3 linked regions of the Macaca mulatta genome follow. The protein of the gene in region 1 interacts with the protein of each later gene in a pairwise test. Links are inferred from orthologs where the notes say so. Each region holds a gene or a part of one and is shown on either strand. Other genes may lie near its edges.

Region 1 (3,747 bases):
AAACAGGAACACGCCAGGCGGAGCAGTATGGCTAAATCCATTTATTCCGAAATAAAAAGCAAAATAAACAGGAGTTGCATCACCAGGGTGCCACGACCCCATCCCCGCCTCCTTCCTCTGTCCTATGCTATCAATAAATAAGTTTCCCAGCCCCAAATAATTATTAGAACCTCCTCCCCATGTGCCAGCTCCAACCTCTGCTAGGTATGATACAGGGGGCTGCCCTACCCCTGGAATATACAAAATGTTACACAGATACAATATGTACACTGGGGAAGCGGGGCCACCCCAGCAGCCCGTGCCCTCACCTGGTCTACAGTTAACCCCACTGTCCTGCCTCAGCTGCCTCTCTGTGTAAGAAGATGGGAGCCCCCCTGAGGGAAAAATTGCTTTGGTGAGAGTAAGGAGGCCATCAGGCCTCCTCCAAACAAGTCAATTCTATGAGCCTCTGGCTATTAAATAACAATCATCATCATCCAGAAATTTAAGGAATCAGCCCTGGCCAAGGTGGCAAAGGCTCTACACATTTGTCTCCCCCCATTAGACAGGGGTCTTATTTGCTACTGTAAGAGTAAAGGGGTGACTGGGAAGGGGTGGCAGGGACATGATGGGGGCGGAGCCTCCGGCCCCACTTCTCCAGGCTTTGCTGACAGTGGCCTGCTTTTTAAAATTTTTATCCTGACTTTTTTTTTAATCCCGTGTTTTTTGTTTTTTTTTTTTGAGACAGAGTCTCACTCTGTCGCCCAGGCTGGAGCGCAATGGCGCCATCTCAGCTCACTGCAACCTCCGCCTGCCGGGTTCAAGTGACTCTCCTGCCTCAGCCTCCTGAGTAGCTGGGATTACAGGCACACGCCACCATGCCTGGCTAATTTTTGTATTTTTAGTAGAAACACGGTTTCACCATGTTGACCAGGCTGGTCCTGAACTCCTGACCTCCTGAACTCCCAAAGTGCTGGGATTACAGGTGTGAGCCACTACGCCCAGCCTTTTTTCATAACTTCTATACCATAACTTACCCATAACCTTCTTTATCCCATAACTTCTTTTAATCCCATAACTTTAATTTTTTTTTTAAGTTTAGTGGCCAGCTTTTAGATGACAGTGATCTTCACCTCATCTGCACCTGTCTACCCCCGTTAGACAGGGGTCTATGCTTGCTACTGGAAGGGTAAAGGGGTCACTGAGGGGGTGGTAGGGATATAGTGGGGGCAGGGTCTCCAGCCCCCCTTCTTCAGGCTTTGCTGACAGCGGCCGGCTTTTAGATGACAGTGATCTTCACCTCATCGTTCTCGTCAGCCCGGTAAAAAAAAGGAATGCAGGGGTTGCTGCCCAAGCCTGGGCGCTCCCGGGGGTTCTGCATCTCACGAAGCAGCTGCATGATCTGCTGTGCAGTGGGGTTGTCACGGGGAGAGCCCTCCCTGGCCTCTCCTTGGGCGGCCTCCGCGCTGCCGGTGAGGCTCACCTCGCAAAGATCTTTGGAGAGAGAGAGGCAGGGCTCTGAGCGCCACGCAAGCCCTCCCTTGCTCCTGCCTGCCCACCCCTCCCGAGGGCTCTACTCACCACCCTGCTGGTCGGCAGCCCCAAGCTCCTGGGGGGCTGGGGCCCCTGGAGCGGGCTCATGGGCAGGGTTCTGGGCAGCTGCCAGGAATCTGCCATGCCACTCGCTGCGGTCGCCCACAAGCCGTAAGACCAGCTCCTGCAACTCCAGCAGCTTCACCTGGAGGGAGGGGTGCTAAGCTGCCATGCCTGTGCCCGTGCCCACCTCCACCCCCACAGAGATGTTCCACGCCCTACCTTCATCTCCTCCTTGTCTTGGGCCAGCCTGCTGATATACTCCTCCTTCTCCCGGTGCCGCTCCTTCAGCACTGCCCTCTGACTCTGGTACAGTGCGATGTACTCTCCTGCGGAAGGACAGGGCTCAGATACTGGGTTCCCTCCGACCACTGTGCAGCTCCTCCTGCCGTGCCCTGGCCTCCCACTCACCAATGGTGTCTGTCTCTCCAGACAGCTGGATACAGCGATGTTCCAGTTCCTCTACCCTCTCCTTCAGGTCCGCCTTCTCCTGCATGAGCTCCATAAAGCGGCTCTGGAACCAAAACAATGGAGTCACATCTTGGCAGCGACCAGCCCCGCCCCCACCCTTCTTGACCCATGCCAGGAGAGACTCATTCACCTGCAGCTTCTCCATGGCCCCCTGCAGGGCCCGGTGGGTTTCCCCACACACAGAATCGCCCCCAGTCCCTGGGGCCGGGGCTGCCACCTCAGGCTCCTTCTGGGCCAAGGCCAGCAGGTGAGCCAGGCGCCGGCAGCGCACCCTTTGCTCCTTCAGCTGCCCACGTAGCCTTGCCTGCTCCTCCTCGGCACTGGCTACAGCTGAGTTGAAAAATGCCACCTGCAGGCAAGAGAGGTGCGTTCTTGTAGGAGGATATATAGGACGAACAGGCAGGGAGGTAGAGAGCAGCCCTTCCCTTGGGGCCTCAGAGGCTGCACTTGTTGGTCCCAGGTGAAATGGGCGTCTGACCACTGGCTCCCAGGAAAGCGGTGAGTCTGAATAAATCAGAAGGCCGGGAAACCAAGAGCAGAAGGGGGTCTGGGAGGGACCACAGAGGGAGACAGCAAAGGCCAGGGAGGGGAGTCAGCCTTACCATGGCTTCCCGGCTCTCCAGGTCCTCCGGGATGCTTGGCATGGGCCGAGGCGCCGCCTCCACCTCCTCCTCCTCTTCTTCCTCCTCCTCCCTGTCCAGTCCATCTCCTGTGGGGGTGGCCAGAGGGGTCATCAGACAACCCAACAAGGGTACAGTGTGCCCACCTCTGCCCCCACCCTCACTGTGTAACCCTGGGCCAGCCCCTCCCCAGAAGGGAATGAGCAGCTTTTTATTTTATTCTTTTTTAAGAGCCAAGAGCTCGCTATGCTGCCCAGGTGCAGTCCCACTACCGATCAGCATGGGAGTTCTGACCTGCTTCATTTCTGACCTGGGCCAGTTCACCCATCCTTAGGCAACCTGCTAGTCCCCTGCTCCCAGGAAGTCACCATAATGATGCCGAACTTAGTGTGGACACCCAGTTGGCATAATGACCAGCTGTTCTAAAGGTCTCTTCCAACTCAATTCCACACTGCTAACAGTCCCCCCTTCCTCCTGGGGCTCTCTCCTCTTCCTGTGAGCAGGTTCCCGTACCTTCCCCAGGATGAGCCATGAGGCTCAATTGGGACCGTAGCTGCTGGTTCTGCTGGGTGACAGATTCCAGGCGCTCCTAAGGGGCCAAGAAAGAGAGTGAGACGGCATGGAGGTTGCCAGGTCATCCCCCTCGGGGCCCTGCCCTCAGCAACTCCCTCACCTGGGCTTCCTGCAACTCTTGGCGGGCCATCTCGGCTACCGCTTTGCCCTGAGCTTCCTGCTGCTGCAGCTGGTCCACGAGCTGGGTCTGCAGCAGTAACTGGTTGTGCAGCACCTCCTTCTCAGAGGTTAGCTGCTGATAGGTGGCCACCTGCTGCTGATAGGCGGCCACATACTGCTGCAGGTGTCCCAGGTACTGGTCTCGCTGCTGCTGTAGACTCTGAGCCTCTTGGCTCTTCAGCTCCACCTGTAGGAAGACCCTAGGCGTGAGGGCAGGTGGTGGCCTGCTTTCAGATTTGGGGCCCATAAATAGGGTAGCGAGGGCTCTGTGAGGCTCTGTTGCCTGCCCAGACCTCTGGCCCCTTGCTCCAGGCCTAAGTGACTGCCTCCCTTGCCTAGAGCCTACTGCCTT
Region 2 (3,650 bases), on another chromosome or scaffold:
CAGCTACTGGTCCTTGCTTTTCTACAATTTCTTACTATTCAGAAGTCATGTAGCCAGAGGTCACAAGATTTGTAACTTCACCAATTGCTCCTTTAGATAACATCACTATTATAAAACCTAAGATTGGTCTTGATATATTTTTCAGGCTTCTGCATTCTGGCAAACCTCCTGATGCCACCCAGATACATGACTCATACCAAGAAACTGACTCTACTAGTCCTATGACTCTCACCTAGACAACTGACTCAGCACAGGAAGACAGTTTGGAAACACCTATAAATTCATCCCCAACCAATCAGCAGCACCCACTCCCTACCCACCTGCCCACAAAATTATCCCTAAAAACCACAACCTCCAAGCTGTCAGAGAGGTGGATTTTAGAAATATCTCCTATCCTGCCACTCAGCTGCCTTGCCTCCATTAAACTCTTTCTCTGCTGCAACTCCTGCATTCTCGATGTTTGGCCTTTCTGGGAAGCGGGCAAGAAGAACACGTTGGCCTGTAACAGGAGAATAAATAAGAGTTTGGCAAGCAACAAGAGGGTGCAGGTATTCTGTGTAGAAGGAATTGCAAGTGCAAAGTAGAAAGAGGAGGCATACTACCAGTTTGAAGTTGCTTGGTATGTTCAATGAAAAGCAAGTAGCTAAAAGGCAAGATAATTTTTTATAAAAAAAAAAAAAAAAAAAAAAAAAAAGGTATGGAAAAGGAAAGGCAAAAGCTAGACAGAGAAGTGCTTGTTCATGGAGGAATTTGTGTGCCACTCTAGACATTTTACTGTAGGAAATGGGGATTCTAGAGTTTTAAGGAGGTGAGTAAATCAACAGGCTGGGTTTTTAAAAATTCCTTCTTGTGGCAGAGAAAATAATGGATTGGAGAATTTCCAGACCAGACTGTAAAAGTCACTATTAAAATAATCAAGAAATGAGGAGATGACAAACTAAAATTTGATCTAGTGACCAACTGAATATGGGAGAAATAGGAAAGGGAGGAATGTAGGATAACTCTGATTTCTAGTTTAGGTTACAATATAGTAGTAGCAGTATTTAACTTGGTGAAAATAGGAGAAACCAGGAGGAAAGATAGCAAGTTCAGTTTTGGTCATATTAAGTTTGAGGGACCTTTGAGACAGATGTGTCCGGGAAGCAACTGAGTTAGGCATTAGTAGATCTGAGAGAAAAATTGAAATTTAGAAGCAAAATCAAAGGTGTTAATAGAATCCATGTGAGTGGACAAAATCACCCAAGGAAAATGTCTAGACTAAGAAATGAAAGTAATTAAGGAGTGAATTCCAAAGAATGACATTCAAAAACCAGGCACAGCCAGTAAAAGGAATTAATGACTATGAACCTCAGTTGTCACAAACAGACTAAGCAATATAAATTTTGAGAAGTAATTACTGTATTTGGCATTTAAAAGGCCTTTAGAAACTTAAGCAAGAACAACTTTCTTGAAGGCATTAAAGAAGCCAGACAAAAGACTTTTGTCTGTTTGATATAAGTAAAAATAATATCCTTTCAATAAGTTTACTGATAGATAGGAGGACTGGGAAATAACTGGATAAACACAGGATGGATGACATGGTTTTGCTTTATTTAATTTTCATAAGATGTGTGACTTGAGCACTGAGTAGAAGGAACTGAAGAGGAAGAGGCTGAAAGCACAGGAAAGAAAAAAGACAACTGGAAGCGAAATGTAACAGATGGAAGCAAATGAGATCAAAAGCAAAGATGGATGGATTATCCTTTAATATCCCTTTCTCTACACTAGAAATACAAGACTAAAGGCTTGGCAAAAATATAGATCAGTGTGTAGGTTGGGGGCATGAGGTTGAAGAATTGTTATACTCCATCATGTTTAGAAAGGAGAAATGAGAAGGGCAAAAGACAGGGTTTATAAATGGAAGGTTTGAAAATGTCTTTACAGAAAATGGGGCAGGGGAAAACTGGGGTAACCAAAAGGATTGCTGAGTAGTATGAAGAAACAAGGGGTGATGGGTGGGGGCTCTGTTTCTAAATTCGTAGCTATAACTATCTAAAGATCTTTCTATCTTCCAGTCCATTATCCATAAGTGCTTAAAAGACACGATAGTTAAGTGAATTAACTAGAACCCTGGTACTCTCAAACATGTGGGTGAATTAAAATCACCTACAGGTTTATTTAAAATGCAAATACCAAGCCCCATTCCTTTCATTCAGAATTTCCAGGGGTGAAGTCCAAACAGTGAATTGCAGAAGCTCTCCAAGCAATCCCAGGAGAAATTTCTGTTTAAAAAAAAAAAAAAGAAAGAAAAAAAGAAGAAGAAGAAGAAAGAAAAGAAAAGCAAGCACAGACCTAGAAGGTAAGCAACTGGACAGACGAGAGCTGATCCAACATACATCTGTTAATGGCCCTCGTGGGGGCGTGGGGCAGTGCTCTGCCACTCAGAAAAGCAAAAGGACTCCAAGATCTAGGGAGATTCAGATTAGTGTTGAGACAGTCACATACACACCACCCCACACTCTTAATAAAGCGCGTTAATGTGAATCTGTGAGCATGAAAAATGCCACGATGAACAATGAAAACACATAATGTTGTTCAAAACAGGTGATTAGACTCGATGCCTTACCCTGAATTTTCTGTTTCATTACTCTAGAGACTTAGTAGCATCAGTGGAATTCAGGGTGCTGTAAGAAATACGGAGAGCGAGTAAACTGCAGTAACAGCCCATGGGAAGGGGGAAAGAGATAATGAGGAGAAGGTCGGGAGGACAGGACAACTTTAAGTGCCCATCCGCCCGAAGACTTGGAACGCTAAGTAGCTAGGACCCACAGCCGTTATTCTGACATCCCCTGGCACTCACCATTGTCTCAGGATCTCAGCACTAGAAAATAGGTATCGTTGAGACAGGAAGACACCACCACCAACACCATCATCCGGTTACTCAGGCAACAGAGCACCGCCCACTGTCGCACGGTGCGTGGGACGCCACCGCCCCACCTCTTCGTCCTTAGTGGCTGGGAGTAATCTCAGCTGCGTTCATCCAATCGACAGGCCCGCCCCTCCACGCTGTCGCCTGGGGCTACGAGACGCCGTTTTTCTGTTTCCGGCAGTTTTACTTCCGTTTGTTTAACAGCTGGCCCGGAAGTTTAAGTGAATCTGAGGCTTGGGCTCCAAAAGTTGCTGTACAGTATTTTATTTTAAAGTAGACATCTGTCCGCTTTCCACTTACGGAGGCCTTACAGTGTGTGTTCTGTGTTACTTGAGTTTAAACTCACTGCAGAATGTATTTACCCTTCTCTTTTGGAAACGTATTCCGGAAGCGAAACCCTGAGTAATCGGAAGTGGTTAGGAGTGAGAGAGCTCCTGGATATGTGGAGGGCCTGGGCGGGCCGGCTTCTGAATGGAAGAGGTCTGTGAGAAGTTAGCCTGGTGATACCGATCCGAAGAGCCTATGAAGTGAAGTCCCCTGAAATACGGAGAATAAGAATCTTACAGGTAAATCCGAGGACAAGCAGGTATAACTAAGGATGTTGGAAAGGGACGGAGGTCTGGCTGGAGCTTGGTGGCCAGTAGCTTTGGATTTAGGGAACGATTGTTGTTCCGGGAAGGCTTTTTCAGACAGGAATGGAACTTCGGTTTCGACTTCCCGGGACAGCAAAGGTTGACAGACT
Region 3 (3,747 bases), on another chromosome or scaffold:
TCAGTTTTAGGACACATTAATTCTATCCAACTAGACTAGCTATTTTACAACTATGGAAGACAACTTTATAAACTCTGCTTTAACTTACAAAGGTTATTTAATAATCCCATTGTTTTGATGATTCTAAAGATTATAAGTTTATTTTTACAGTCTACTCTTAAATATTACTGTTGAGGCATATATACAGCAATGGTGGACTTAATTCTGCCTAAGATATCTGAGCATCTGTACTAAAATATGAAGCTACCTTCATTTGGTTGGTATGCTAAAGAAATTTTGTAAGTATCTCATTTTTAAAAAATTTGGTTTGTGTGTTCTGTGTGCTCAGGAATTTTTCCACAGTACCAGAGATCACTGTAGTGATTAAATTTGACCCTTTTGACAGAAAACAGAATAATAGATTCCTAGGGATAAAAAAGGGGTGACTGCAAAGGAACATGAGGTAATTTTTGGAGTGATTCTACACCTTGTTCTACAACTATTCTACATCTTGATTATGTTATGATTATGAATTTGTCAAATCTCATACTTAACGGTAAATTTTAGTGAATATAAGCTCATACTTAAATAAACATGACTTTACAATTAAAACAAAAGAAATATGAAGGCTCATAAGAGACTGCTATGACCAATTATATGCCAACAGATTGGATAACCTAGAATGGATAAGTTCCTAGACACATACAACCTATCAAGACTAAATCATAAAGAAATAGGTAATCTGAACAGACCGATAATAAGAGATCAAATCAGTAGTTAAGTCTCCCACTAAACAAAACCCCCCGGACCTGATGGCTTCACTACTGAATTCTACCAAACATTTAAAGAAGAACTAATACAAATCCTTCTCAAATTCTTCCAAAATACTGAAGAGGAGGGAAAATTTTCAAACTCAATTTAGGAGACCAGCATTATCCTGATTCCAAAGCCAAACAAATACACTACAAGAAAAGAAAACCAAAGGTCAATATCTCCAATGAACATAGAAGCAAAAATCCTCTACAAACTCTAATTGCTAAGGCTATACCTTACATAAGGCAGAATGTTCAACAGACTTACTTGTGAATTATCTAAGCCCCATAATTTACTTTTCTTTCCTTAAATGCAATTTCAGCCCATGGTTCCCATTGTCCTCCCCATCTTCTTTTTTGGCTTTTTAAAAGACAGGGAGTCCCTGGATCCTGGATCTTGTACCTATCCCCTTTTTTAAAACAAAAACAAAACACTGAGTTTCTCTATGTTGTCCAGGCTCGTCTCAAACTCCTGGGCACAAGTGATCCTCCTGTCTCTGCCTCCCGAGTAGCTGGGATTACAGGTGCACACTACTGTGCCAGCTCTGGCACCTGGTCCCTAGTTGGATACTTAATCCTTACAAGTCATTTGCAGAAAATATTTTTATTTCTATAATCATATTTGATGCCAAAGTTATGTTTCCAGCCTATCTCCTCTAGCCATCTTTTAGATTCGGAATGTAAAATAAATTTAATATAAACAATGTGGTTTTGGGGTACGAGAACGAATAACAAATAGCAAAATAAAAACTATTTTGGGGTACGAGAACGAATAACAAATAGCAAAATAAAAACTATTTTCAACTAATTTTAGAAGTTGGGCACGGTGCCTCGGGCCTGTAATCCCAGCACTTTGGGAGGCTGAGGCTGGTAGATCGCCTGAGGTCAGGAGTTCGAGACCAGCCTGACCAACATGGTGAAACCCCCGTCTCTACTAAACACAAAAAATTAGCCAGACATGGTGGCGCATGCCTGTAATCCCAGCCACTCAGGAGGCTGAGACAGGAGAATCGCTTGAACCCGGGAGGCGGAGGTTGCAGTGAGCCGAGATCGCGCCACTGCGCTCTAGCTTGGGTGATAGAGTTAGACTCTGTCTAAAAAAAAAAAAAGAAAAAAAAGAAATTTTAGATTTCCTATTGTTCTCTTTAATCGCAGTAAGCCTGACTGAACTATCTCACAAGGACCTCTAGAACACTAATTCAGTAGAGGAGGGTTGCAAGATTGATTGTAACAGAGTAAAAGAGAACTTAAGGTGTGTTAACACAATTGGGTGACAAGAGGTCATGATACATGAATAAAGACTGTAATTCTTGTTTTACTCCATTTGTCAATCTCAGCAGTGCAAGGTGACTTCTAGGCGACTCTATAAACCAGTATCACAGGACCTACCTCCTCACAAACTGTAGAAAAGCGGTTGAGGAACTGTACAGTGTGCACCACAAATTGGTTTAGAAAAGCCACCGTTCTTTTCTGTTGAATAGCTGGCACCTGTGTTACGTAAAAACAAACATGGTTCATACAGGAGGAACGTACACAGTGCAAACCTTTTCATATTTGGAAATAATCACGAGGCACTTTGCTGTGTGATACGAATTTCTTGAAGGACTGGGAATAGTCATTAACTTGTTTTCCTAAACTGTAGGTGGGGTGTCCGAAGACAACAGAGGTGCATAAAAGTTTGAGAACAGGCTCTAGACTCACTGGGACGAATTTTGGCAGGCAGAAGCAACACACATAAACACACACAAAAACTTGGGGGCTGAAAAAGAGGTAGGGCTAGCTATCACAACCGGCGTCTATCGCCGGCGGCACAGAGACACGAAAGATGGGAAGCGAAAGTTGGGAGATGCACACCGTCTCCTTAATCAGTTCAAGAGGGACCCCATTTGAAGGTGGACTGCGGAGCTCTCCCTCCTGAGGCCGGCAGAAGGGCCCGGGGCCGTGACAGAGTGGGGACCCGGAAGGTGTGGTCTCCCCGGGAAGCTGCGTCTTCCCCATCCTCCTCCCGGTGGAGGAGTTTAGTATCGTCTTTTACAAACCTTGGTCAGGTCTATGCCTGACCCCATGAGAGGAAGCCCGTCCTCATCCATCTCCTCTGCGGGCGGGAGACCCCGAGTTCACCCACAAACCCCTCCCAGATGGGGCCCGACCAACCCGGTAATCGCGTCTCAACTTTCCCCCCAAGTCCCCGCCTCCGGGGCCCTTCCCGCCGGAAGAAAATGCCTCCGCTCACTAATCACTCGGCGACTTCCGGAGAGCCCGCCTCCTCGCTCGGCATTCTGGGATTGGTAGTTTTAGTCCAGATTGTGACGTCAATTTCGCGATGGTGCAAGGATGCAGTTATAGCAGTAAAATCTTAGGAGGCAAACAAAACAAAACAAAGCCAGAAGTTGCGTCCCTTTGAGGTTACCCCTACTTAGTCCTGTCTGTTATATAACGGCTCCGTCATTCCTTGAGCAACAATTTTTTTTTTTTTTTAATCCTAAGTGTCATATATACTCTGCTAGGCTTTTACTGTGAAAACAAAGATTGAGTTTGATTGCTGCATTGGGGAGGTTTATGCTCTGAAGAATGAGAAATAAGACCTACTTCCAAAGGGTGTGTGTGTATATACACACCAGTTCCCAGGCTGGTCTCGAACTCCTGACCTCAAGCGATTCTCCTGCCTCAGCCTCCCAGAGTGCTGGGATTACAGTCGTGAGCCAACCCGCCTGGCCTTCCAAAGGTTTTTAAAACGTGAAATAAAACGTCAACTACTAGAGGTGAGGCACAAACCTACGGAAGTGACTGCCATTTACAGGGAGCATGGAAAAGATGAAGACCAAGTTGGCAGCTTTAAAATGGGGGTCTTGCTGTGTCACCCAGTCTGGTGTGCGGTGAGGATTATAGCTCACCGTAGTCTCAAACCCCTTGGCTCAAATGATCTTCATGCCTTGGCCTCCCTAAGCACTGGGAT

The links.
Region 2: the proteins of GOLGA2 (region 1) and NME7 interact in binary tests that used the Homo sapiens proteins (3 or more experiments, as listed by UniProt). The two-hybrid records come from large-scale screens. The link is inferred for Macaca mulatta from reciprocal best matches to the Homo sapiens genes GOLGA2 and NME7.
Region 3: the proteins of GOLGA2 (region 1) and WASHC3 interact in binary tests that used the Homo sapiens proteins (3 or more experiments, as listed by UniProt). The two-hybrid records come from large-scale screens. The link is inferred for Macaca mulatta from reciprocal best matches to the Homo sapiens genes GOLGA2 and WASHC3.

What each region holds. Positions count from the first base shown.
Region 1 is NC_133420.1:19,428,821-19,432,567, reverse strand, and holds the end of GOLGA2 (golgin subfamily A member 2), read right to left. Parts: intron 3,583-3,747; coding exon 3,337-3,582; intron 3,253-3,336; coding exon 3,177-3,252; intron 2,753-3,176; coding exon 2,581-2,752; intron 2,415-2,580; coding exon 2,174-2,414; intron 2,087-2,173; coding exon 1,984-2,086; intron 1,902-1,983; coding exon 1,795-1,901; intron 1,718-1,794; coding exon 1,561-1,717; intron 1,474-1,560; coding exon 1,259-1,473; 3' UTR 27-1,258; downstream 1-26. UniProt on the Homo sapiens protein: Peripheral membrane component of the cis-Golgi stack that acts as a membrane skeleton that maintains the structure of the Golgi apparatus, and as a vesicle thether that facilitates vesicle fusion to the Golgi membrane.
Region 2 is NC_133406.1:26,870,480-26,874,129, forward strand, and holds the start of NME7 (nucleoside diphosphate kinase homolog 7), read right to left. Parts: upstream 2,930-3,650; 5' UTR 2,843-2,929; coding exon 2,840-2,842; intron 2,664-2,839; exon of another isoform or gene 2,606-2,663; intron 1-2,605. UniProt on the Homo sapiens protein: Possesses an intrinsic kinase activity. Displays 3'-5' exonuclease activity with a preference for single-stranded DNA. Does not seem to have nucleoside diphosphate kinase activity.
Region 3 is NC_133416.1:109,366,291-109,370,037, forward strand, and holds the start of WASHC3 (WASH complex subunit 3), read right to left. Parts: upstream 2,902-3,747; 5' UTR 2,882-2,901; coding exon of another isoform or gene 2,831-2,881; 5' UTR 2,790-2,830; coding exon 2,646-2,789; intron 2,280-2,645; coding exon 2,181-2,279; intron 1-2,180. UniProt on the Homo sapiens protein: Acts as a component of the WASH core complex that functions as a nucleation-promoting factor (NPF) at the surface of endosomes, where it recruits and activates the Arp2/3 complex to induce actin polymerization, playing a key role in the fission of tubules that serve as transport intermediates during endosome sorting.